Linked DNA regions of Oryctolagus cuniculus. The protein of the gene in region 2 purifies or fractionates together with the protein of the main gene of each other region. This does not show direct contact. Links are inferred from orthologs where the notes say so. Each region holds a gene or a part of one and is shown on either strand. Other genes may lie near its edges.

What was found.
Region 1: the proteins of SPAST (region 2) and NUP160 purify together in Homo sapiens (affinity purification with mass spectrometry; 3 studies listed by BioGRID and IntAct, with this or other methods). This does not show direct contact. The link is inferred for Oryctolagus cuniculus from reciprocal best matches to the Homo sapiens genes SPAST and NUP160.
Region 3: the proteins of SPAST (region 2) and NUP107 purify together in Homo sapiens (affinity purification with mass spectrometry; 3 studies listed by BioGRID and IntAct, counting the BioPlex papers as one, with this or other methods). This does not show direct contact. The link is inferred for Oryctolagus cuniculus from reciprocal best matches to the Homo sapiens genes SPAST and NUP107.
Region 4: the proteins of SPAST (region 2) and NUP133 purify together in Homo sapiens (affinity purification with mass spectrometry; 3 studies listed by BioGRID and IntAct, counting the BioPlex papers as one, with this or other methods). This does not show direct contact. The link is inferred for Oryctolagus cuniculus from reciprocal best matches to the Homo sapiens genes SPAST and NUP133.
Region 5: the proteins of SPAST (region 2) and NUP85 purify together in Homo sapiens (affinity purification with mass spectrometry; 3 studies listed by BioGRID and IntAct, counting the BioPlex papers as one, with this or other methods). This does not show direct contact. The link is inferred for Oryctolagus cuniculus from reciprocal best matches to the Homo sapiens genes SPAST and NUP85.
Region 6: the proteins of SPAST (region 2) and NUP43 purify together in Homo sapiens (affinity purification with mass spectrometry; 3 studies listed by BioGRID and IntAct, counting the BioPlex papers as one, with this or other methods). This does not show direct contact. The link is inferred for Oryctolagus cuniculus from reciprocal best matches to the Homo sapiens genes SPAST and NUP43.
Region 7: the proteins of SPAST (region 2) and NUP98 purify together in Homo sapiens (affinity purification with mass spectrometry; 3 studies listed by BioGRID and IntAct, counting the BioPlex papers as one, with this or other methods). This does not show direct contact. The link is inferred for Oryctolagus cuniculus from reciprocal best matches to the Homo sapiens genes SPAST and NUP98.

Annotation. Positions count from the first base shown.
Region 1 is NC_091432.1:18,194,928-18,198,427, forward strand, and holds part of NUP160 (nuclear pore complex protein Nup160), read left to right. Parts: intron 1-1,612; coding exon 1,613-1,712; intron 1,713-2,015; coding exon 2,016-2,181; intron 2,182-3,302; coding exon 3,303-3,430; intron 3,431-3,500. UniProt on the Homo sapiens protein: Functions as a component of the nuclear pore complex (NPC). Involved in poly(A)+ RNA transport.
Region 2 is NC_091433.1:170,783,380-170,787,524, forward strand, and holds the start of SPAST (spastin), read right to left. Parts: upstream 2,801-4,145; 5' UTR 2,788-2,800; coding exon 2,373-2,787; intron 1-2,372. UniProt on the Homo sapiens protein: ATP-dependent microtubule severing protein that specifically recognizes and cuts microtubules that are polyglutamylated.
Region 3 is NC_091442.1:71,074,031-71,077,530, forward strand, and holds part of NUP107 (nuclear pore complex protein Nup107), read left to right. Parts: intron 1-680; coding exon 681-825; intron 826-3,088; coding exon 3,089-3,192; intron 3,193-3,500. UniProt on the Homo sapiens protein: Plays a role in the nuclear pore complex (NPC) assembly and/or maintenance. Required for the assembly of peripheral proteins into the NPC. May anchor NUP62 to the NPC. Involved in nephrogenesis.
Region 4 is NC_091444.1:90,206,253-90,209,752, reverse strand, and holds part of NUP133 (nuclear pore complex protein Nup133), read left to right. Parts: intron 1-1,366; coding exon 1,367-1,502; intron 1,503-3,500. UniProt on the Homo sapiens protein: Involved in poly(A)+ RNA transport. Involved in nephrogenesis.
Region 5 is NC_091448.1:5,303,175-5,306,674, forward strand, and holds part of NUP85 (nuclear pore complex protein Nup85), read right to left. Parts: intron 3,450-3,500; coding exon 3,343-3,449; intron 227-3,342; coding exon 143-226; intron 27-142; coding exon 1-26. UniProt on the Homo sapiens protein: Essential component of the nuclear pore complex (NPC) that seems to be required for NPC assembly and maintenance. As part of the NPC Nup107-160 subcomplex plays a role in RNA export and in tethering NUP96/Nup98 and NUP153 to the nucleus.
Region 6 is NC_091436.1:18,268,087-18,272,309, forward strand, and holds the start of NUP43 (nucleoporin Nup43), read left to right. Parts: upstream 1-1,423; 5' UTR 1,424-1,494; coding exon 1,495-1,614; intron 1,615-1,887; coding exon 1,888-2,010; intron 2,011-3,670; coding exon 3,671-3,748; intron 3,749-4,223. UniProt on the Homo sapiens protein: Component of the Nup107-160 subcomplex of the nuclear pore complex (NPC). The Nup107-160 subcomplex is required for the assembly of a functional NPC.
Region 7 is NC_091432.1:63,190,066-63,193,565, forward strand, and holds part of NUP98 (nuclear pore complex protein Nup98-Nup96), read left to right. Parts: intron 1-471; coding exon 472-628; intron 629-3,500. UniProt on the Homo sapiens protein: Plays a role in the nuclear pore complex (NPC) assembly and/or maintenance. NUP98 and NUP96 are involved in the bidirectional transport across the NPC. May anchor NUP153 and TPR to the NPC.

The DNA.
Region 1 (3,500 bases), on a different chromosome or scaffold from region 2:
CAGAGTGAAAGATGTATTGATCTTCTATCTACTGGTTCATTCACCCAAATATTCACAACAGCCAGGTCCAAACCAGGCCAAAGCTAGGAACCAGGAAATAAATACATCCTGGTCTCCCACATGGGTGGCCTGGGCCCAAGTATTTGGCTCGTCTTCTGTTGCCTTCCCAGGCTCGTTAGCAGGAAATTGGATCAGAAGCAGAGCTACTGAGATTCCTCAAGTGGCATCTTAACCCACTGTGCCACAACACTGGCTTTACTAGTGGTGTCTTGACTTATGACCAAATGCCCACCCTGATCTATTTTGTTTTACATTTGATTTTTAAATTTATTTATTTAATAGATAATAAAAAATTAAAATTAAAGTAGAATAAAACATTATATTTTATTTGTTGAATAAATGATAAAAATTAAAAATAGCATAAAAATTTTTTTTTTTTTTTTGACAGGCAGAGTTGGACAGTGAGAGAGAGAGACAGAGAGAAAGGTCTTCCTTTTGCCGTTGGTTCACCCTCCAATGGCTGCTGCGGCCGGCGCGCTACGGCCAGTGCACCGCGCTGATCCGATGGCAGGAGCCAGGTACTTCTCCTGGTCTCCCATGGAGTGCAGGGCCTAAGCACTTGGGCCATCCTCCACTGCACTCCCTGGCCACAGCAGAGAGCTGGCCTGGAAGAGGGGCAACTGGGACAGAATCCGGCGCCCTGACCGGGACTAGAACCCAGTGTGCCGGCGCCGCAGGGCGGAGGATTAGCCTAGTGAGCCGCGGTGCCGGCCTAGAAAGCCTTCATCCAGATCCATCTTTTAATTTCCATTTGTGATTCTTCTTTGTATAAATATGTTTTTTTTTCTGGGCCATTTGAGAGTTTTCTTCCCAGCTTGTAGCATCATGCACTTTTTTTTTTTTTTTAAGATATATTTATTTATTTGAAAGGATACAGAGAGAGAAGGAGAGACAGAGAGCTTTCATCTGCTTGTTCACTCCCCAAATGGCTGCAACAACTGGGGCTAGGCCAGGCTGAAGCCAGGAGCCAGAAGCTTAATGCAGGTCTTCAGCATGGATACAGCAGCCCAAGGACTTGGGCCATCTTCTGCTACTTTCCCAGAAGCATTAGCAGGAAGCTGATCAGACATGGAGCAGCAGGACATGAACTTGTGCTGGTGCTATAGGCTATGGCTTAATCCACTGTGCCACAGTGCTGGTCCCAGACATCATGCCCTTTTGTCCTTAAAAACTTCAGCAAGTCTCTAAAAGCATGGATGTTTATCCTAAATAACCACAGTAGAATTTAAAGATCAACAATTTGATATTGATACATTATTACACAGTTAATAATTTTTCCAGTTGTGCCCATAATTTTCTTTGTGATCCAAGATCCAATCCGAGGACCTAGATATATCTAGTTGTCTTGTTTATTTAACTTAATCTTGAACTATCTTCAGCCTTTCTTTGTCTTTCATGACTGACATTTTTCTGATGACTACACATGTATTTTTTACAGTGTCCATCAACTGGAGTTTCTCTGGTGTTGCCTCATGATAAAACTCACATCACAATTATTTTATACCTTTAAAAATTCACTGAAAAAATGTAACCAGAATATTTCAATTTCCAGGGGTACCTGTCTTTTCTTATGCCCTCTTCCCTAGTGGACCATTTGTATCTACTGCCTGATGAGAACCTGTTGACAGAGGATGAGACAACCATATCTGATGGTAATGATTGTTATTTGTATGTTTATTCCCTTTCCTACATGAACCTGTGCTTTATTACAAGTACATGCAAAATATACTCTGGTTTCTCTTCAGATCGTATAAATCTTTCACCTTTTACAAGTACATGCAAAGGACATTGATTACCACTGGCCATTTTACCACATTGTAGATACTTCAAGGGAAGATATAGAGGCCTCCATATCTCAAAGACATCAGATAGATGTCTGGGCATTTAATAATTAACAATATAATATTAATTAGATCACTGATTTGAGACTAGAATGTTAACTTTTCTCTTCCTAGATGTGGATGTTGCTCGAGATGTCATATGTCTTATAAAATGTCTTCGGCTGATTGGAGAGTCCGTAAATATGGACATGTCAGTTATGATGGAAATGAGTTGCTACAACCTACAGTCTCCAGAGAAGGCTGCGGAACAGATTCTGGAAGATTTGATCACTGTTGATGTGTAAGGAGAACTTAGGGTAAAGTGCATTTCCTAATGGAAATTCAGCAATTTTTAGTGCCAAATCGAATTTTTGTATGCAAAAGAGTGTTCAAATTAATGGCTTGAAGATAAAATGAATTGTCATGATTCTCAATAGATATTTCAGCTTTTGGACAATTTTTTTAAATAAATCTTTGTCTTTTTTTTAAGAATTATTGATTTATTTAAAAGGCAGAGTTACAGAGAGGCAGAGAGAGAGAGAGGTCTCCATCTGTTGGTTCATTCCTCAGGTGGCTTCAACAACTGGAGCTGGGCCCATCTGAAGCCAGGAGCCAGGAGCTTCTTGGTCTCCCACGTGGGTGCAGGGGCCCAAGAACTTGGGCCATCTTCTACTGTGTTCCCAGGCCATGTATAGAGCTGGATTGGAAGAGGAGCAGCCAGGACTCGAACCAGCACCCATATGGGACACAAGCACTACAGGTGGTGGCTTTACCCACTATGCCACGACGCCAGCCCCCAGAAATTTGTTTAAGGGTTTTTTTTTTTTTTTTTTTTTTTTTTTAAGATTTGTTTGTTTGTTTGAAAGTCAAAGTTACAGAGAGAATCTTCCATCTTCTGGTTCACTCCCCAGATGGCTATAATGGCCAGGCCAAAGCCAGGAGCCAGGAACTTCATCTGGGTCTCCCATGTGGATGACAGGGGCCTTGGACCATCTTCTCCTGCTTTCCCAGGCCATTAGCAGGAAGCTGGATCAGCAGTGGAGCAGCTGGGACTTGTACTGGTGCCCATGTGGGATGTAGCCGGGACACGAGCTAGATGTCATGGGCTGTGGCTTTATCCAGTATGCCACAACACCAGCCCCAAACAGAAATTCTAACACATGCAGATTCCTAAGCTGTGATACAGCTATTAATTATTGATTCTAAAAAGAAAAAGTAGTTTCCTCACAATCATCTTGTTTGCCAGTTCTGAAAAGTTGAAAGAAATTTTGCTGTGTGGTATCTCGTATACCTGAACAGTTGTGTCTCCTGCTTTATCACGTTGCTGGCTTTCCTGTGTCACAGAGCATTTAGTTTACAGGACATTGGGTATTCTTGGTAGTATTCTTGGTAGTAACAGAAGTTTCCTGATTGCCTCTGTAGAGAAAATGTGCTAGAGGATATTTGTAGTAAACTGCAAGAAATTCGGAATCCAATCCAGGCCATTGGCGTTCTTATACGGGAAATGGATTATGAAACAGACGTGGAAATGGAAAAGGGATTCAATCCAGGTAAATGACAGAACAGCCAAAGTACCTCTTGGCTTTAGAGAAAGCAGTGATACATTTAACTTTATTTCTT
Region 2 (4,145 bases):
AGACTTCAATTGCAAGTTGTCTTTCAACCACTGGATTAGGGCGGAAGCACAAAAATTTTCAGTAAGCTAAAGAAAAACTTTTAGAAGATAACCATGATGGGGCCATCGCGGTTGGTTAATCCTCCGCGGCGTTGGCATCCCATATGGGCACCGGTTCTAGTCCCGGCTGCTCCTCTTCCGATCTAACTCTCTACTGTGGCCTGGGAAAGCAGAGATGGCTCAAGTCCTTGGGCCCCTGCACCCACATGGGAGACCAGAAAGAAGCTCCTGGCTCCTGGCTTCGGAATGCCGCAGCTCCGGTTATTGCGACCAACGGAAGGAAGACCTTTCTCTGTCTCTCCCTCTCACCATCTGTAACTCTACCTCTCAAATAGATAAATAAAATCTTAAAAAAAAAAAAAAGGAGGTAACCATGACAATATAAACTCAGTTTTTAGGGGAAAGTGAACACACAACTAATTTGTTTTAGTTTGAGCTAATATAATTTGGCATATGAGGGGACCAACTGTGGAACTCAAAAGAGTTATCATTCTGGTATCCACTTTACCAGATAAAATATAACTAAAGTTAAAAAAAAACAACAACTGTGAATAGAAACATCAAGTAGGAAGAGGGTATACTATATATAAATTTAAAATTAAAATATTTTAAGAAGATGCACACATAGACATATGAATATGACACTGAAAAGTCAGTCATGAGCCTAAACCCAAGGTCTGAATTGTGTTATTTACACCGCACACAGAACTGCTTGCCCTTCAAGCCTAAGAGCTTAGGGTCTTGTTAAGCACCTGGGATTTCCTTTTTCTTTGGTCTTATTCTATCTCTCGACTCCCATTTTCTTTCATCTCTTGTGAAACACACTAGTGAAACAATCTACCAGCAAACGCATTCCCAGCATCATACAAGGTCTCTGAGTAGATGAGAAAGCCTGAGGATCCTCCGGTACCAGCTTACTGCAGTGGAACCCTGCTTCCCTAGGAGGGCGGTGAGGGGTTCTCTCCACCCTCCCCGAGGGACCCTAGTCGTCCCTAAGAGGCGGTCAGGAACGCAGAGCCTCCTTCCACAAACACACAGCCCTCTTCCTAACCAGCCGCCCTTCTGGTGGTCTCTCAGCCTCTGCTCTGTCCTGACTCCCCAACCATGAACACCTGCCTTCCTGTGCCCTACTGCTCACCCAGGCCCACAGATAAACAGTAACCACCACGACTGAGTTCTGGAGGTTGGTAACAGGGAGACGCTACAAATGAGCTGCAGATGGTTTTTGTTTTCACTAATGGGCAACGCAACCCAGTACCTAATTGACACAAGGTGAACAAGTGCTGTTCGGGAGAAGGCAAAGCAAGATGGCAGCATACTAGACGTGAGGATGAAAAGGAGAGATTGAAATGTTATCAGACTCCTAACTTCATTTATCATTATTTTTCACTTAAAAAAAAAAGTTCACTAACGGTGAGCACAGGCTTGGAGTGACCTGCTTTAATCCTCAGAGCTTTAGTTTTCTGCTCTGTATAAGAGCCAACAGCATCTGTACCATCAGTTCACAGGGTCACCGGGAGGCGTAAATACGCCGATACATGCAAACAGCACAGTGCCTGGCACCCAGGAAGACTGAAATAAAGTTAGTTTCAAAGAACCTGCAGGATGTAGCAGCCTTGCCTTCCGCTGGAAACATACATCTCTGTTTTGGGTTTCATTGTAAACGGATACCTGCAAGTTTTCTCAATTCACTCAACATTTCTACTTAGAGACTGAAGAGGCCACCTTGCAATACTTAAATACTTGCCTACTAAAAAATCAAAGCAACCAGAAGCAGAAGTTTTAGCTAAAATACAAGTTTCCTTAAAGAGATTCGGGAATCATTTTATCAATAAAATTAGTCTTGAAGCTTTAAAAAATAATCCGCATTCAGCTGCCCTCATCCTCAGCTACCCGCAGAATCAAGTCACCGTTTGTTCTTTTTACTGACACTTCAGTACTCTGCTTTCATTGCAAGCCTGTAACCCGGCACAGCTTCTTCGGTATCGAAACCTGGCTGGGAGGCAGCCACACACTGTGTCCAGGGCCAGAAAGGATCCCTGTGGTCACGCTAGGACAACTGTCACTGTCACCAGCACGTCCGGGCGCCTCTCAAGGACTCGGATCGTGCAGGAGCGTGGGGGCAGGCTGGTGTCTGAAACAAAGTCGACAGCGAGGGCGCGCTGAAACGGGAGAGGTTTGGCCGAGAGCCGCGGACGAGGGTCTGACCGGCAGGGAGGCAGTCTCCCGGGGCGGATCGATTCCGGGGGCGCGCCGCCGCCCGTAGGAGGGGGACGCAGGTGTCGCCCTCCCCGGGCGCGCCGCCGCCCCCCCTCCCCCAGCCCCCCAGGTACCTTTCTCGTCCTCGTCGATGCGCAGGGCAACGGAGATGTACTCGAAGGCCTGTTTGTGGAAGGCGCGGACGCGCTCGGCCTCGCCGCCCGGCACCGGCTCCGGGGGCGAGGCCGAGGCGGGCGCCGGCGCGGCCCGGGAGCTCCTCTTGGCGGCCATGAGGGCGCGGGAGAGGCGCTGGCAGAGCCACACGAAGAGGAGCCCCAGGTGGAAAGCGACCAAGCGCAGCAGCGCGAAGCCGACGAAGAGCGGGTAGGAGAAATAGTACAGGTTCCGCTTATGCGGCGACTCGGGCGGAGCGGCCGGCCCGGCGGCGGGAGGGGCGGGGGCCAGGCAGGGGGGCGGAGGCCTGGGAGGCGCCGGGCTGCTGGCGCCGCCGGAGCCTTTCTTCTTCCCTCGTCCACCCGGAGAATTCATTCACAGCTCCCACTGCCGCCGCCGCCGCCATAACCCGCCTTCCGCAGACCGACGGCGACCCAGCGACGGCGGCGACTGCTTCGACGGCGAGGGCCACAGACCCCCCGCACGCCGGCGGGTCCCAGGAGCTCGGCACCTGCACGCGCCGCCCGCGGCCCCGCCCCTCGCTCGGCCAAGAGCACAACCCTTTCTCCTCCTCCTCCTCCTCCTTCGGTCGGTGGCTCCAACCCCCCCTTCTCTCCGTCCTCTCAGCGCCAAGGAAGCTCCGAGCGCCGGCCGCGCACGCACACGCGCACGCCCTTCCGTGCCTTTCTCCGCCGCGCGCGCACGCGCGCACGCCGCCGTCTTTGTTGACCTGGTCTCTTGTGCGCGTGTGCGGCGCCTGCCACTCGGCCCTTTCCTCGTGGAACTACACTTCCCAAGGTGCACTTCGACTCCCATGTAGCTCCGCGGACGGCGCTTGCCCTGGGAGCTCCTACCAGCAAGCTGGGGAATTACTCCTTGAATAGGGAGACGGCGGCTTGGGGCTGCTAGTAAGTTTGCAGCGCTTCTATCTCTCGGTGTCATGGTTTCATCATTTTCTGCCAGTTGACTTCAGTCTATTACAAAGGTTGATTGGTCTGAATTCAGGAGCAGTGAGTATACGGACTGGAGTTAGGGGAGCAGGCAGTGAAGAGACAAACATCAAGTCATCCCAAGTGAAAAATGTTACCTCTCTACGGTGAGGTCAACGAATCTAGGATTTTCACTAAATTAGCACGAATTTAGATGTCTCGTCTGAAGAAATAACTTACTCGAATACGGAATTTTTAGATTTCTGCGTAGCACCCTGTAGTTTGCTGAGGAAGCCGTGCTGTGGTTTTCCTGGCATTTTTGTTTTAAGTCTACTTGGCTTCCCTTCCTTTCGGCAACTACCCACTCATCTCTGCTCCCAGGGTTCTCCTGAGTTGCAAACACAGAACTCAGGATCAGTCGGTCAATGAGACTCCCCTGGGAACTGGGATCTTGGCTGGAGAAGGGCTGAGAGCGAAGGTGGCTGCCACCGAGTGCTCCACGGAGCTCCCTGGCTAGAGCATCCCACTGTGGTCCCAGAGCAGAGTTCCTGCACTGGCCGGATGACGTAACCTATCTAATACACTTCGGTCTATTTCTCTTCCCCCGTTTCCCCCGCTTTCTCTTTCTCCCCTCCCTATCCCCCTGTCTCTGTTTTTTTTCTCTTCTGACTTGAGTTAACCATAATTGTTCCTCGTTGCCTAAAACAGAAGCATCCTAAGTGATACAAAGTCCCCATTATTTATAGTGTGAGGTCTACGGAATCTCAGCATCCTGCCACAACTTTAATGATTACGCAGCAAGAC
Region 3 (3,500 bases), on a different chromosome or scaffold from region 2:
CCTCCATCTTTTTGGAAAAAAAAAAAAAAAAAAAATATATATATATATATATATATATACATATTTATTTATTTATTTGAAAAGCAGAGTGACAAAGACAGTGGGAGAGACAGAGAGATTGTCCATCCACTGGATAAGTTCCCAAATGCCCAGAATAGCCAGGATTGCCAGCCTGAAGTCAGGAGTCGGGAACTCCATCCAGGTCTCCCACATGGGTGGCAGGAACCCAAGGCCTTGGGCCATTATCTGCAGCCTCCCAGGCGTGTTCCCAGGGAACTGGATCAAAAGCGTGGAGTGGCTATGACTCTGATGTGAGATGCTGGCATCTCAAGCTGCACCAACGATACCTGCCCTCATCTGTTTTTAACTGCTGAAGAAAACTGGTTCTCCCATCCTTTATAGTACTTACGAAGTAGGGCTTAATTTTATCTGCTAATATTAGCTTAATTTTACAAAATGTAATCCTTACTAACTTTTTTAAAAGCATGGAGTAATACAAAGAAGAAAACATTAAAAATCCATAAATTCCTTAACATAATAACCCCTGTTGGCTATCTTTTAAAAGTAAAATACACAGAAGTAATGTTTTTAAAATGTGGTTGAACCTTATTCATTTTTAAAGCATTTGTTCACTCAGTGACAATAGCTCCATCACTTTTCTGCATCTTTTTCCTTCCAAGATAACCAATCTGGATGACAGTAACTGGGCGGCTGCGTTCTCATCCCAGCGCTTAGGGCTGTACACAGGTGTAGACGCCCACAGTGTCACAGAGGACGTGAATCTCAGCGCGGTCATGCTACGTGAGGATGATCCTGGCGAGGCTGGTAAAGTGGCTTGGAGCCTTGCGATAAAGCGGTTCTTCTCCTGACTAATGTCACGATGTTTTCTTCTCCTGTTCCTGAATGTCATGGTTTTATTTTTTCCTTTAAAGGGAGGGATGGCTTTAAAAAACCAGAAATTTATTTTCTTGGAATTCTGGAGGCTAGAAATCCAATGTACAGATATCTGCAGGGTTGGTTTTTTCTAAGGCCTCTTCCTCTTTCCTTCCATGGGAGGACAATTCCTATCAGGAAAGTCTTTGCTGGGTCTTCCCTCTGTCTGTATATTTGTCATTGTGTGAATTGCTTTTGCTCTTGGCTGTCTCTGGAAGTGTGAGAACCTGAGAAGCCCTCCTGGGTTGTCAGCAGCGTCTTGCCATTGTATCTGTTAGCATAAACAGCAGCCTTTGGATCATTGCAGGTCTCCTATTTGTATTCTTATTTGTGCCACCAAAAGAACTTAGGCTTAGCTGTAATCTAACACTGCTGATGTGTTGAGCTTTAACCTGGACAGCAGTGCTGCTTTTTCAGAAAGTATTGTAACTTTGCTAGTTTTAGGTTTGTTACTAACGTTTCCTTTTGTACAAGACCATTTGCTTTTAGTGTCTGTGTACCTACATACCATGTTCTTGAGTTTATCATCATCATCAGCTACCTTATGGATGTTAATTGTGTGGTTATCACTCTCCGAATATGAACTCCTGGAATCCTTACCAAGATCCATTACATAGTTAGAATGATTGTTCTCATTTTAGAGGAAAGGAAACCACTGCTCAGATTGGCTAACTGGCTTGCAGAAAATCGCCCAGCTAGGAAGTAGTGGCACCAGGATTTGAAACTAAACAGTTTGATTCCAGAGCCTTGCCCTTAACACCATGGTAACCACCACTTTCTTGCAGTGTCTGCAGTAATACATACTTGAATCTTGGGTTCCCCAAAAATACTTCCTACTTATTCTGTAAAATACAAGAATTCAATTTTAGGATGAGAACTCAAATATTAGTAGAGCAAATGCATTTTCCCTTACCTGAACAGAGCATTGAGTAGCTACTGTAATTCTTAGCCATTTTGTTATGCTGTGCTTAAAATGTAATTCAGATGCTTTAAAATGTGGCCCAATTTTTAAAATTGTTGACAAAATAGGAAACATTAATGACTACTGTATCTTTGGGATCTTACAAAACTAATAGGTTACAAATGAAAAAATAGATAAGTTGGACTATGCCAAAATCTTAAATTTCTATGCCTCAAAGAATCTAATCAACAGAGTGAAAAGGCAGCCTGTGGAATAGTGGGAAATATTTGCAAATTAGCTGAAAGGGGGCTTAAATCCAAAAAATAAAAAAAAAACAACTCCTGTAACTGCTGTAACTCATAAAATGGGCAAAAATTTTGAATAGATGTTTCTCTAAAGATTTTCAAATAGCTAGTAAGCACGTGAAAAGGTGAAATCACTTATCTTTAGAGAAATGTAGATCAAAACTAATATGAGATGCCACCTTACACCATTAGGAGGTCTATAAAAAATGGAGAAAATGACAAATTTGAAAATGATGTGGAGAAATTGAAACCCTTGTATACTATTAGTGGGAATGTAAAATGGTGCAGCCACTTTGGAAAATAGTAAAGCAGTTACTCAAGAAACTGAACGAGGAATTACCTTATGATCCAATAGTTCTGCCTATGCATATATACCCAAAGGATGTGAAAGCAAGATTTCAAAGAGATATTTAAATATTCATGTTCATAGTAGCCAAAAAGTGGAAGCAGCTGAGTGTCCATCCATTGTGTGCTATTTACATAAAATGTAGTAGTAGTATTTAGCCAAAAAGGAAGGACATTCTGACACCTGCTAACATGGATAAACCTTGAGACATTGCTAAATGAAATAAGCAAGTCAAAATAGGACAGACTAGATCATATAGATCTCCCTTATATGAGATACTTTGATAGAGACAGAAAGTGGAATGGTGGTTGCGAGGGACTGGGGATAGTGAGGAATTGGCAGTTATTGCTGAATGGGTAGAGTTGTAGTTTTGCAAGGTAAGAATGAGTGTTGTGGAGTGAAGTTGGTGATAGTAGCACAACATTGTGGATGTGCTTAGTGTCACTGAACTGTGTACACTTAAAAATAGTTACAATGGTAAATTTTCTTTCTTTACAGTGGTAAATTCTTTTTAAAAACTATGTTTTTAATTTTTCAATCAAAATTACCTAAAAGTATGTCCTATAACTTTTCTTTTTTCCTTTTCTTTTTAATGTATTTTAGCATCCATGAGTATGTTTTCTGATTTCCTGCAGTCTTTTTTGAAGCACTCTTCAACTACAGTTTTTGACCTTGTGGAAGAGTACGAAAACATTTGTGTTAGTCAGGTGAGCTGATTTCACCCTGTCATCAAACTCTAGTACTTTTAGTTTGCTAAACAGCATTAACCTGCTAATATCTATTGTGTACTGAAAGGGGATGTCTAGGAATTTAGTGGCAAAAATAGCGGAGAGTGCAGCCAGACCAAATTTTTTAAAAAAGAATCTTATATTTATTTGAAAGGCAGAGTGAGAGAGACAGAGAGAGAGATTTTTCCACCCAAATGGCTGCAATGGCCAGGGCTGGGTTATATGGAAGTCAGGAGCCTGGAATTTCATATGGGTATCCCACGTGGGTGACAGGTGCCCACTGCTGT
Region 4 (3,500 bases), on a different chromosome or scaffold from region 2:
TGCGGGGTTAATGTATGTAATGAAGTAATATTCAGCCTTTAAAAATAAAAGTATCATTTTCAGGAACATGGATAAGCTTGGAGGATAGTATTAAGTGAAATAAGCAGGCACAGAAAGATAAATACTGTATAATCTCACTTATACGTGGAATCTAAAATAGCTGAGCATACCAAAGCTGAGAGTGAAATGGTGATCATCAGAGGCCGGAGGATAGGAGAAATGGAGAATTGGGTCAAGGGGTACAAAGATTCAATTAGGAGAAACCAGTTTCTTTGAGATATGTTGTATAGTGTGATGTCTATAGTTGATAATAATATGTTGTGTATTTCAAAATTGCTAAGAGAAAATTTCAGATATTCTCACCACAGAAAATGATAAGCATTTGAAGTGATGGATACATTAATTAGCTTGGTTTAATCATTCCACATTGTATGCACATATCATCACATCGCTTTTACTCACAAATGTATACAATTATAATTAATTTATAAGTTTTTAAAAGTTGGAGGTACTACTTACAGATATTTTAAAATGTGCATCCTTGGGGCCGGCACAGTGGTGCAGTGGGTTGTGCCATGGCCTGCAATGTGGGGATCTCATATGGGTGCCATTTCAAGTCCCAGCTGCTCCACTTCCAATCCAGCCCACTGCTAAGGCACCTGGGAAAAGCAGCAGTAATAGCCCAACTGCTTGGGCCCCTTCACCCACGTGGGAGACCCAGAAGAATCTCCTGGCTAATGGCTTCAGCCTAGCCCAGTCTTGGTCGTTTTGGGAGTGAACCAGTGGGTGGAAGATCTCTCTGTCTATAACTCTGCCTTTCAAATAAATAAGTAAATCCTTTAAAATGTACACATATGTATATATTCTTTCCTATTCTCTCATATAATTTAAATAAAAGATTCTGCTTGATTTACGATGATGTTAACATTACCTGTTATAACTCAATAAAAATATATAGCCTACAATACTTTGTCTATTACAATAAAATCACAAAAAATTTGCAAACATGTATATAGTGGTCATTGGCCTTTTATTGTAATGAGTATGTGCTTCTAATAAAAACACACAAATTAACTTGAAAGCTTGTTCTCAACATGATATTCAAATGAATTATAATGGTTATAAAACAGATGTTTTAGTTATGTCACTGTCCCCAATAATTAGTGTGTCTGGTAGATGTTTTGTAAGTATTGTGTAATTACTCTGAATATGTCACTGATCACCTCATAGGTTTGCTAATTAACAACTTGTTTTTCATTGGTAAAGCTAAAGGGAAAAAACTAGTTTGGAGTACACTCAGCCTTTATTTCTAGGTTGAATTGATACCCAAGATCTTACCATGGTTTTCATGTTTTGTTTATTGTAGGCTCATGCAACACTTCTAGGTTTGGCAAATATGGAAACTCGTTATTTTGCAAAGAAAAAAACTCTGCTTGGCTTGAGTAAATTGGCCGCACTAGCTTCAGATTTTTCAGAGGATATACTGCAAGAAAAAATTGAAGGTAAAAGAATTTGAGCAAAAAGACTTTGACTAATTGTTATCATTCATACTTCAATGAACTCTTAAGATGTCTTCCTATCATCGTTTAGTAGAATCCATTAGGAACAAGACTCATCCATCTCTACTTAAGAGGAAAACTTTTTTCAGTAAGAATTCCTAAATTCAAATGGCTTGACTAAACACTCTGATTATGTACTTTTGGTAGTATATATTATATGAGCAAAAAGAACTGCAAAGATACACTGACCTTTGTATAGTGGGTTTGTTGTAGGTAGTAGTATGATGCAGTAATTCTGAAATACTCTGTATACCCTGTAGATAGAAAAGATGATTACATATAGTATTATGTTTGAGAACCAAGGAGGAGGGAGATACAAATACTAGTGTAGAAGGAAGGTGAGGAAGAACCCTGTATAATTGCATTTGTATTGAACATAATGGATAGAATGATTTTTTTTTTATTTTTTAAAATTTTCATTTTATTTGAAAAGCAGAAATAGAGGGTCAGAGAGATTGAAGAGAGCTTGTGTTGCTGATTCCCTCCCCCCAGATGCCTGCCACAGCCAAGACTAGGCTAGGCTGAAACTAAAAGCCTGGAATTCAATTCAAGTCTCCCAAGTAGTTGGCAGTCATCTGCTACCTCCCAGGGTGCACATTAGTAGGAAGTTAGATTTAAGGCAGAGGAGCTAGGACTCAAAGCAGCCCTTAGATGTGGGATATGGGCATCCCAAGCAGCAACTTAACCATTGTGCCACATGCCTGCCCCTGGAATTTTTATAAAAAAGTGTATTTCTCTCCACTGAAAGGGCCTGAAAGCAGTGACACCGCAGTAGCATGGGTATTCCTAATTCCATATTTTAGTTTCAAACTACTATTGCCCAGTAAAGAAGGAGGCCATATTGAAAAGATGCCCTTACAGGTTTTGGGTGAGAAAGCAAGGTTAATGTAGAGATGTCACAAGAATACAAGATCCTTGAACAGCCAGCCATCACTAGCCAACTTCAGGGATAATTTGAACAACAAAAAGAATGGTTTGGGTTCCTTCCACTCATGAGGGAGACCCAGCCTGAATTCCAGGCTCCTGGCTTCTCCCTGACCCAGCCCTAGCTGTTGCTGGCATTTGGGGAGTGAACCAGTAGATGAAAGATCTCTTTCTTTTCTGCGTTTCAAATAGAGAAAGGGAGGAAAGCAGAGGGAGGGAGAGTTTTAAGATTTATTTGACAGAGTGCAATGGCTTAACCTACTGCCCCGTAACACCAGCCCCAAAGACAGATTCACATCTCATACTTCCTCAAGATATGACAGTATATATCATCACCTGTTGCTAAAATGTTCGACCTGGGACATTTGACAGTACAGTCAGCCTGGGCTGTTCAAAACTGTAGCAACATGAAAGACCAACTTAGATTAAAGAGGTTATAAGAGCCAGGATAACCAAATGCAGTGCAAGATTCTTAATTGGGTCCTAGATCATCCCCCAAATAACCAGGGTAACTACGATGAATATTAGGGGGATAACTGGGAAAATTTGAGCATGCTTAATAGGTGGGATTACTGTACTGATGAAATTTTATAGGCCTGGTAATTTATTGTGATTGGATGTTCTTGTTCTTAGGAAATACATATATTTATTTAAAAATTAAGTATTTAAAAATGAAATGTTACAAAGTCTGCAACCTTCAAATGATAGGCAAAAAAAACTCTGTATGTGGTGAAGTATATATGAAGTTGGATATTTGGTTGCATTTCTTTTTTAAAAAAAATTTTTTTTAATTTTTTAATATTTATTTCAAAGTCAGAGTTAGAGGCAGAGGGAGAGAGGTTTTCCATCAGCTGGTTCACTCCCCAGATAGCCACAACAGCTAGAGCTAGACTGATCCAGAGCCAGGAGCTCAGGAGAAAAGGTCTCCCACATGGGTGCAGGGACCCACCCAAGGACTTGGACCATTATCCACTGCTTTCCCAGGCCATAGCAGGGAACTGGATCAGAAATGGAGCA
Region 5 (3,500 bases), on a different chromosome or scaffold from region 2:
GGAACTCCCTCATGTTAGAACCGAAACTGCAACGGACCGTGACAGACAAGACTCTGGGCCTGCTCCGTGCAGGGCCCCTCCTCAGCCCGGCTTCCCTTCTGGTCACTCCGCCCGCCCACCCCGAGGGCCTGAAGCCACTCACTAGAGGTTGTGTGACTGCAGCAGTCGGCAGTGGTCCAGCAGGTCTGTCAGGTGGGCCACGAACCACCAGTTGCTCAGGGCGATGCTGCAGATTGAGACCAGGCAGGAGGCAAAGTCAGGAGAGGCCACGTCCCACAGGAGCGAGGCGTGGGCAGGAACCCCACGTCCCTGCCTCGGAACACAGGTGGGCTATCCCCCCCACCTGTCAGCACGGCCACTACCGCAGTCACGAGAGCAGGTGCTGCTGAGGGTGTGGAGCCGGGAGCCTGTGTGCTGCGGGCAGTGCACGCTGGTGAGGCCTCACGGCAAACAGTCAGACCCGCACAGGCCCAGCTACCCCCAGACTACCACATGTCCCCCCGCAGTCCTCCTTGGCATGTGTGTAAAGGGGAAAAATCCTTCACAGTGGACACGGCTGTGCTGGCAGGGATGAGGTGTACGTGTGTGGGTACACAGTGGACACTTAGCCACGTGTGACAGCCTGCATGGACCAGAAGGACGTTACACTAAGTGAAATGAGCCAGACACTGAAGATCGCTGCGATCACATTTAGGCGCAGACTCTACACACACACTGAGTGGGCCGGGGGCTGCCGGGGGCTGGCGGGTGGCAGGGAGGAGATGCTGGCCAAGGCCCACAGCTCGTAACGCACCGTACACGCGAAACCCACCCGGAATGTTCTCATACATACATACAAGAGGCATACACGCATACAAGAGGCAACTGAGGTGCTCACTATGCTGTCAGCTTGATGGTGGCACCGCGTCACAGCACACACAGTCCCCTCTGAAGTGTGAGGGGCAGGCCACGCCGCCACCTGCGACGCGCACCCCACACTGGAGTGCTAGTGCTAGTGCCGGCTTGCTGCTTCCCAGCCAGCTTCCACCAACACGTTCTGACAGGCAGCCCTGGCGGCTCAGGTGCCTGGGCCCTGTCCCCCGCATGGGTGACCCGAGTTTTTGGTTCCTCGCTTTGGCCTGACCCAGTCTAGGCCGTTGCGGCCATTTGGGGAGGGACCCAGCAGAAGGAAGACTCCCACCAAGCACTAAGGGTGGGGGCTCAAGTGATCGAGGCTGGGCACGGCTGAGTGGTGCCAGGGTCTCTGTGCAGACTCCAGCAACTCTGGATCCAGCAGTTAGATTCGGGATCTGCACGTACACGCCCTGCGATTCTGAGAGCAGCTTCAGTGTCAGAACGAGGAAGCTTTAGCGCCGGTGCTGCGGGACAGCGGTCAGTGGCCACCCGTGACGCCCGCCGCAGCACGTGGGCACCAGCTCCTGTCCTGGCTGCTCCGCTTCCCATCCGGCTCCAAGCCAAAGTCTGGGAAAGCAGAGGATGGCCCTCCACCACGGGGGAGAACGGTTAAAGCTCCTGGCTTCGGCCTGCCCGGCCCAGGTCGTCGTGGCCATCTTGGGAGCGAATCACAGAGAATTTCAGCAAACACGTAACCCTCTCCAAAGCTGCCCTCCTGCTCACGCCGCCTGGAGACGGGCACCGCGCAGAAAGGCGCCGGCAGAGAAAGCTGCGCGTGGCCGATGACCTGGCGAGGCGTCGAGCTCCCGAGCTCCGCCAGACTGTAAGCAGTGCTGGGCAGTGGTAAGCGCTTCCCTGCAGCCACCAGCTCTTGTTTTGGCAAAAAGGAAACCAGGGCTTCAGGAAAATAGTGGTAAACTTGGGGAAAGCCAGAGCAGTTTTCTGTCAATATTTTCATAGGCCCACATGGCTGATGGCAGGAATGGGAGCATGTGTGTGCAGCAAACGAGAATAACAAAGACACACGTTGACATTCCACTTTATGGGCATCCCCGCCCTAATTCTAAGTAAAACCTCCCAGACCTCTCGTCCGCTGCAGCAGTGAGCAAGTTCCACCAGCTCCTCTAGGCCTATCTGGGGTTTCAGACACAACAGATGTGGGCAGAGCAAGCCTCCGGGCACAGGACCTGGGGAAGGGGAAAGCCCCGCGCTGTCCTGGGCCGGCAAAGCGCCCGTGAGGAGCAGAGGCCCCCGAACCCCACGGGACATCGCATCGGGCATCACCCCCGGGGAAGAGTTGCGCTCGCAGCCCTCGGCCCAGGCGTCCGAGACGCTGGCTGCCGGGCTCGGAGTCTGCCTCTTCCTGAGCAGGTGCTGCCTCCCAGCCTGCTCTGAGACAGGAACCGCGCCACAGCGCTGGCCCCACGGCACGTGTTTTTGCCTTCGTATGTGTGGACAGTCCAGGAAGGTCCTACCTCTGTTGCGTGTCTGACATTCCCTTTCCGACACACTCAAGTGTCAGTGCAATGACGGGACAGGGAGCGGGCTGGAAACCCTGCAGATTCCAGCACAAGACCAGCAGCCTGGCCGCCCTGCACTCACCAGTGACACTGCGGTACGACCCAAAGGCGGCTGTCCACTGGGTACCAAGGAATAGGCTCGCTGGCCTTTTCTGGATTTTAAACATCAAAACATTTCATGCGGTGTTAGTTTTAATAAGGGTTCCTGAGGAGATGGTTATAAACACAATGGCCTTCGTGCCTCAGCAAAGCCCCCACGCTCCTCCAGAGGGCAGGTGCTGTCCCCTTGCATCCGCTGAGGCGGGCAGCAGGTGCTACGGTTTGAATGGTTCCCTCCAGGTCAGGCGGGCCCACATGATGGTGCTCAGAGGTGGAGCCCTGAGCGGGGTCGGGTGATGAGGGCGCCCTTGAAGGGCGTGAGGCTCCCTGACAAAGGGGCTCGCGGGAGGAAGCTCGGCCCCTCGCCCCTTCCCCTTCTACGTCAGGACATGGAACGCAAGGCGTTATCTTGGAAGCCCTCACAAACACCCAACCTGGACACAAACACGAATCTTGGACTTCCTGGCTACCGGACTGTGAGAAAATGCATTTCTGTTCTTTATAAAGCACCCAGTTGGGGCCGGCCACTGCCTGCAGCACGGGCATCCCCTATGGGTGCCAGTTTGAGTCCCGGCTGCTCCCCTTCTGATCCAGCTCCTGCTACGGTCTCAGAAAGCACTGAGGATGGCGCAAGTGCTTGGACCTCTGCACCCGTGTGGGGAACCGGGAAGCTCCTGGCTTCGGCCTGGCCCAGCCCAGCCCTTACAACCACTGGGGAGGAGGAAACCAGAGACGGAAGCGCTCTAACTGCTTTCCGAGTAAATCAATCAACTTTTTTTTTCAAACAGCAGCAGCAGCAGCAGCTGAAGTGGCGCCGGGCGGGGCTCACCTGCACTCCTTGATCACCTGGTGGATGTCAAACTCAAAGGCGGCCATCAGGATGTTGTCCAGAGGTTCCGGGCTGCTCTCCCCTCCCAGAAACAGGTCCAGGCTGGACTGTGAAAGGCAGTGAGGTGCTCTCAGCTCTGCGGAGCCGCCCGCTGGCCA
Region 6 (4,223 bases), on a different chromosome or scaffold from region 2:
TGCAGCCGTCGTTTAGGTCATTCGGTAAACGTTTAGGAAAGAAACAAAGCTGTGTCACCGCGTCTAAGCTCTTAGATCAGCAGCAGTTTTCAAGTTCTCGCGCTTACCAGGTTCTGTCGAATGTGACACTGTTCAAAAATACGCATGTCCTCTTGTCGGGGTTCTGTGGTCGTAAACGAGCCCACACGCAATTGTTCTTTCCGTGGATATATGATAGGAATGAAATTGTCGACTTGGGGCTCATCCGCTTCCCGGGCGCCCGTTCCGTCTCTCCGCAGACGGCTGGCGATCTTCGGCTGCAGAGCAGACCCTGGTAACTCTCACCGAAGCCGGCCGCGGCGGTTACGTTTCGTCCACTCCTTGCACAAACTGTCCCGGTGAAGTGGGACCCCCGACCTCGTAAACCGGCAGCCCGGCACGGCCCCCTTTAAAGAGACAACATATAGTTATGAATACAGCGGTGTAAGAGAGTTGCCAAGGTGGAATAAATCATACCTCTTGGAATCAGTAGGATTTCCACGCTAAGGAGCTTTGGAAAAGGAAACCAGAAACGGGGCAAAATGCGTGCTCTTAGTGATGCAGATACGAAACGTTCTGTTTTATTCTCCTCCTCATCCTCCGCTGAGGCCGTCAGGGAAAGGGTGAAGGGTGGACAGGATTCTGAGAGGAGGAGTGGAAAGGTATTTTAGCCATAACCAAAGGCACTAAAGGAACCCGCAGCACTCATGCCCCAGGCTGTGGACGTTAGGTATCACAAAATCCGTTCTTAATTATGTAATGGAAGTGGAGCCGGTGTTGTGGCACAGTGGTTTTAGCCGCCGATTTGCGTCCTGGCTGTTCCCAGCTTTGACCTGACCCAGCCCTGGCCTAAGCCACCATTTGGGGAGTGAGCCAGCGGATGGAAGAGCTCCCTCTGTGTGTGTGTCTCTCCCTCTCTCTGCAACTCTGCCTTTGAAATAAATCTTTTCTTAAAAAATTACGTATGTAAGTGAGTTGACCAAGGTTACAGTTAGGTAACCTTAGGTAACTGGCAGCAGAACTAAAACTGGAGTCAAAGGTTTAGGATAATAAATTCGTACTTTATTGGAAATAGTGCCATGAAGATTGAAGGATTTTGAGTTGTTTGCTATGCATAGTGACAAGCAGCTGATGTGCCTGCAAGGTGGTTTCCCACGCAGTGATTTTGTTCTTAAGTTATTGCACAAGCACGTTGTCTCCATGTTCCTCCTCTGCATTTGCATGTCGGGTGCAGATCCCACTGCACATAGGCCGGGGCACTCTTGGTTTTGCTCAAAGCCACCTCGCTGATCATGGGCGCCTCAGACCCCTCCTGGTCCGGGCCCGGCAGTGCCTGCACCGCCTTCCGCTGGGAATTGGCCCTTCGCGGCCGCCGTCGCCCGGCGAGCTCCCATCCAATCAGAGCTCCGCGGGAAGGGGCGGAACCCGGAGGCGCGCGGCGCGCGGCTGGCTGTGCCTGCTGCTGTTGCTTTCAGCATGGAGGAGCTGTATGCCAAGTTTGTGTCTGAGAAAATCAGCAAAACCCGCTGGCGGCCGGTGCCTCCGGGGAGCCTGCAGACCGCCGAGACCTTTGCCACGGGCTCTTGGGACAATGAGGTACCCTGGCTCCGGGGCGGGACCCCGGGGCTCCGTCCTCTCCCACGCCCAGGTGCCCTGGAGCGCGCGACTTTCCATCCTCCCCGGCCCCGGGTCCGGGGGCTCGGCTGCAGCCAGCGTGGGTGTGCCCGAGCCCCCGTCTTCTTGTTTCACATTCTGCCCATGCCGTGTGAGATGCTTTGGAGCCCAGGTTGCCTTAAGGCGATACGCATTGGGTTTACTTTCCAGAGTTGACGGTTCTGTCATCTCAAGATGAAGCCGTTTGCTTTACAGGAGAATCACGTTTCACTGTGGTCTATCGGAGATTTCGGAAACCCGGACTCTGATGGAAGCCTGGAAGGAGACCATCGACTGTTGTGCGATATCAAACACCATGGTGACGTCATGGACTTACAGGTAAACGCGTCCAGTGCCCAGAGGCTCGCTTCTAAAGAAAGCCAGAGCAGTGCATTTAGAGTGCAGAGACCTGAGAGCTCTCCTGGCCTCACCCCTAGTTTACAGGAAAGCGAGTTCTCCATAGGTTAGGATTTACCCAACGTAGACTGATCACTTAGTGGCACAACCTCCCAGCTGCAAGCGATTTTTTTATTTTATTATTATTATTTTTTTTTTGACAGGCAAAGTTAGTGAGAGAGACAGGTCTTCCTTCCGTTGGTTCACCCCTCAAATGGCCACCTCGGACGGCGCTGCACCGATCCGAAGCCAGGAGCCAGGTGCCTCCTCCTGGTCTCCCATGCGGGTGCAGGGCCCAAGCACTTGGGCCATCCTCCACTGCCTTTCCGGGCCACAGCAGAGAGCTGGACTGCAAGAGGAGCAACCGGGACAGAATCCGGCGCCCCAGCCGGGACTAGAACCCGGTGTGCCGGCGCCGCAGGCGGAGGATTAGCCTATTGAGCTGCGGTGCCGGCCTGCAAGTGATATTTTTGGAGTTTTACATAAGACCGTTTAATTCTAATTACATGTCTGTGAGTCAGTATTGTTATTTCTATTTTGCCCGTGAGAATGCTAAGAATATTATCTTTCGAGCACACACTGCTAAGGATCTCAAAGTTCATGGAAAATGCATATTATAGATAAACTATGCATGGGCTTTTAAAAATTTTGCACTAGAATGCATTATCTTTTAATTTCATTTTCCATAAACTTCTTGAATTATCCTCATTTGTGACAAATACTGTGCAGGGTAGGTCTTTTAAATTTTTTGATTTCTCATAACCCACCCTGAGTAGGATTAGTACTCCCTGTTTAAAAATACAGATTTTTAAAAATTTACTTATTTGAGAGGTAGAGTTAGAGACAGAGAGAAAGTTCTCGATCTGCTGGTTCACTCCCCAAATGGCTGCAATGGCCATAACTGGGCTGATCTGAAGCCAGGAGCTTCTTCCCAGTCTCCCATGCGGGTGCAGGGGTCCAAGGACTTGGGCCATCCTCTACTGCTTTCTCAGACCATAGCAGAGGGCCGGGTCAGAAGAGGAGCAGCCAGGATGGAAACCAGGGTGCGTGTGAGATGTTGGCCCTGCAGGCGGAAGCTTAGCCTATTGTACCACAGCAGTGGCCTCAGGGAAATTTCTTTTTTAATGTATTTGTTAGAGCTCCCATCAACTGGCTCATTCACCAAAGCCTGCGTCAATCAGGAGCCAAGAGCCAGGAACTCAGTCCAGGTCTCCCATGTGGGTAGCATGGACCCAATTACTTGAGTCATTACCATTGCTTTGCAGGACCTGCGTTAACAGGAAGCTGAAATAAGGAGCCAGAACTGGGTGTTGAACACAGGCATTCTGAACTTGGGCATCTCAACCCAACATCATAGCAAGCCAAATGCCCACCACATTCCAAGGCTTAGAGAATTTAACTTGGCCAACCATTTATTCCTCATGAAAATACCTTTATTTGTATAGCAATGTTAACTTTTAGATCTAACAAATGTTATTTGGGTAGCACTTACAGGCTTTTTACCTTTTACAGTTACGTAATTTGCTATAAATTCAGTTAAACAACGGGTTTCCTCCCTACTAGTTTTTCTGAATCTATAATAAGCAGGAATTTTTCTGTTTAGTTTTTTGACCAGGAAAGAATTGTAGCTGCTTCATCAACAGGATGTGTAACAATTTTCCTTCACCATCCAAATAACCAGGTAAAGAACTTTGGTTTGAAAAGTGAATTTGTATTTTAGTTATTTTTAGAAAGGTGTAAGGAAAACCGTATTTAATAGTTTTAAAGCCTTACGATATGAAGGGGGGGAAAATATCATTACTTTTTGCGAATGTAATTCTAGAACCATGTTTTTGTGAGTTGTTTGTTTGTTTGTTTGTTTGTTTTTGAAAGAGAATTACAGAGAAAGGAGGGGAAAGACAGAAACAGAAAGGTCTTCCTTCCACTGGTTCATTTCTCAGTGGCTGCATCAGCCAGGGGTGGGCCAGACCAAAGCCAGAAGTCAGGAGTTTCTTCCAGGTCTCCTGCTTGGGTGCAGGGGCTCAAGCACTTGGGCCATCCTCTACTGCTTTCCCAGGCCATTAGCAGGGAGCTAAATGGGAAGTGAAGCAGCCAGGACTTGAACCATTGCCCATATGAGATGCCGGCATTGTAGGTGGTGGCTTTACCTGCTACGC
Region 7 (3,500 bases), on a different chromosome or scaffold from region 2:
GGTTTTTTAAGGGTATTAGTATCAGGTGATCTGGATTCTAATCCCAGTTTTGTGAATTTATTACTGTGTGACAGTCATTTAACGTCTGTGAGCACTGACTTCTGTAAAACATAACTTTTTCTACTTTGAAGGTTGTTTTTGAGGCTTTGTAAAGTGTTCCACAAAATTTTAAAGTTTCTGTAAACCCTGTCTCTACTTCACCTTGCCCATGCCAAAAGGCATGAGTTTAGCTTTTGGCTTGTGCTTATGTTTGATTTTAAAATTATTTATTAAGACCTCAGCAGTTGCTATATGCCAGGTTCTGGTGAGACACATTGTAATGAAATCAGTAACACAAATATTACAGTATTTCTGGACACTATCTTAAGAAGTAATTTTTTTTGGTTGTTGTAAACTGTATCTTTTAGTAGCCTTTCAGTTTCAGAGAGCACATTCATTGTGTGTCTGTGTATATACATATTGCCTTTTTAGATCATGAAAGCATCACTGCTTGCTGATGAAGAAGATATAGACATGATGCTGGATCAGCGCTTCAGTCATGTTCCTTCCAAAGCAGATGCTTCTCAAGAAATCTGTTCTCCCAGACTCCCCATTTCAGCATCCCACCCATCAAAATCTCGTTCACTAGGTATTGTATAAATACGCTGTTTTACAAGAAAGCTGTAGAGTCATCAAGTTCCACGTTTCATATATCTCCTGTGCTGAGTAGATTTCCAGAATGTATCTCCCTAACAGCCATACCTCTGACATAAGAATGTTAAGAGAGCTCACACTCTTATATTAGGAGTGTCCAGTTTTTTAAGAACTATAATTACTTCTGTTGGTGAAGATGCAGAAATTGTATGGAGAGTATAGTATTTGTGCTTTGCTTAGGGTCATGCTTTTGTTTGCTTATGAGTATGAATTAAATAAGTTCCAATTTCCAAATTTTTATCACAAGTTACTTTGAGGATTTAACAAGTTGTCCTACATTGGACTCTCTGTGTAGTCCTAATGCTATCTCAGTGCCTTATGAGGAAATCTTTGCCTTTTGATAATTCATAGAATTCATCAAGATTCAAGATTCCAATTTTCCCTAAGCTTTTTGCCTAGTGGACTAGTAACTTGGTGGAATTGGAGGTAGGGTATTACTATAAACAGAACACTTGAACAGTTAAGTGAATATTAAGTTGTGGTCATTGGAGCAGCAGTTAAGATGTCATTTGGGATACTTGCATACTATAATGAAATTTCTGGATTGGAATCCATTCAAGTTCCCTGGGAGGCAGCAGGTGATGGCTTATATAGTTGTATCTCTGCTACCTGGGATTGAATTCCTGGCTCCCAAAACTCAAACCGGCACCCATATGGGATGTTGGCAGTGGGGGCAGCGGCTTTACCTGCCATGCCACAGCTCTGGCCCCATGCTGCTCCACTTTTTTTTTTTTTACCCCTCCAGTAGAGGGCGCACTCTTGCGAGCGGCTTTTGTAGCCAGTTGCTTCCTGGGTGCTTTACCACCAGTCAATTTGCGGCAGTCTGCCCTGTATGAGCCATGGTATAAAGACCTCCCTACTTACCACACTTCTCCTTCAGCTGGAGCTCGGCGAGCGAGAGGCCGCGCTGGCGTTAGAGAGCAACGGCGGCACGGCTACTGCTCCACTTTCAATCCATCTTCTTGCTAATGCAGCTGGGAAGGCAGTGGATGATGGCCCAATTGCTTGGGCTGCTGCCACCCTTCTGGGAGACTGGGATGAAGTTTCTGACTCCTGAGTTTGACCTAGCACAAACCTGGCTGTTGTGGCCATCTGGGGAATGAATAAGCAGGTTAAAGACATTTCTCTCTCTTTCTTGGGGTCTCTCTAAGTCTTTGTCACTCTGCTTTTCAGACAATTCAGTTAATAAATCCTTTTAAAAAATTGTGGATTAGGCAATTCTTTTTTTTTTTTTTATTTTTTTATTTTTTTTTTTTTTTATTTTTGACAGGCAGAGTGGACAGTGAGAGAGAGAGAGACAGAGAGAAAGGTCTTCCTTTGCCGTTGGTTCACCCTCCAATGGCTGCCACGGCCGGCGCGCTGCGGCCGGCGCACCGCGCTGATCCGATGGCAGGAACCAGGAGCCAGGTGCTTTTCCTGGTCTCCCATGTGGGTGCAGGGCCCAAGCACCTGGGCCATCCTCCACTGCACTCCCTGGCCACAGCAGAGGGCTGGCTTGGAAGAGGGGCAACCGGGACAGAATCCGGCGCCCCGACCGGGACTAGAACCCGGTGTGCCGGCGCCGCTAGGCGGAGGATTAGCCTAGTGAGCCGCGGCGCCGGCCCGGATTAGGCAATTCTAATAAGAACTTTTCCTCAGAAAAGTACATGTGCAATCATAAGAATTTTCAATATTTTTTTCTTTAACTCGTAACAGAAGGTAGGAATTTGAGTTTTGATCTTTGATCTTACTAAGCTCTTATAAGGACTAAGAAAGTTATTTTGAATTTTTTAAAAAGATTTATTTACTTATTTATTTGAAAGAGAGATAGAAAGCTTCCATCTGCTCTTTGAGACCCCCAAATGTCTGCAACAATGGAACTGAGCCAGGCCAAACCCAGGAGTCTGGAATTTCGTGCAGGTCTCCCACATGGGTGTATCTCCCAAGTACTTAAACCATCTTCTGTTGCTTTCCCAGATGCATTAAAAGGGAACTGCATTAGAAGTGGAGCAGGTGGGACTCAAACCAGCACCCATGGGATCCTGGTATTAGAGGCAGCAACATAACCTGCTGTGCCACAGTCCTGTCTCCTTTTATCAGACATGGTGTTCCATTTGACTTTTTGATACATTTATAGATTGTGTAATGTCCACTCAGGGGAAATACATCTCTGTTCAAACATTTAACAGTTCTTTAAAAAACATCCAAAATCCTATCATGGATTTGTTGTGTGTGTATGTGTGTGTGTGTGTTTTTAGTAACATAAATATATAAGAATTAACCATGTGTAATCTTCACACATTTGGAATTTTTATTTAAAGTTTTTATTATTTATAATTATATAATTAATATATATTATATAATATAATTAATTATATGAAAAGCAGAATGACAGAGGGAAAGGGAGAAACGAGAGAGAGAGAGATCTTCAGTCCATTGGTTCTCTCCCCAAATGACATCAAGGGCCGAGGCTGAGTCAGACCAAAGCCATGAGCCAGGAACCCCATCCAGGTCTCCCATGTGGATGGCAGGGGCTGCAAGTACTTGGGCCATCTGCTGCTGCTTTCCAAGATGTATTGGCAGGGAGCTGGACTAGAAGGAGTGTACCTGGGACTTGAACCAATGCTCCAATAAAGCATTGGTATCATAGGCAGTGACTTAACACACTGCTCTGCAATGCCTGCCCCCCACATTTGGGATTTTGGTATGGGCTTAGTACTGGTAACAGACCTCCCTGTACTTTCCCTGCCAGTCCTGGTATTTGGTAGATTTTTTGAGTTTGTACAAGCTACCACTTACTTGAAACCAGTTTTCTTACTTACAAAAAT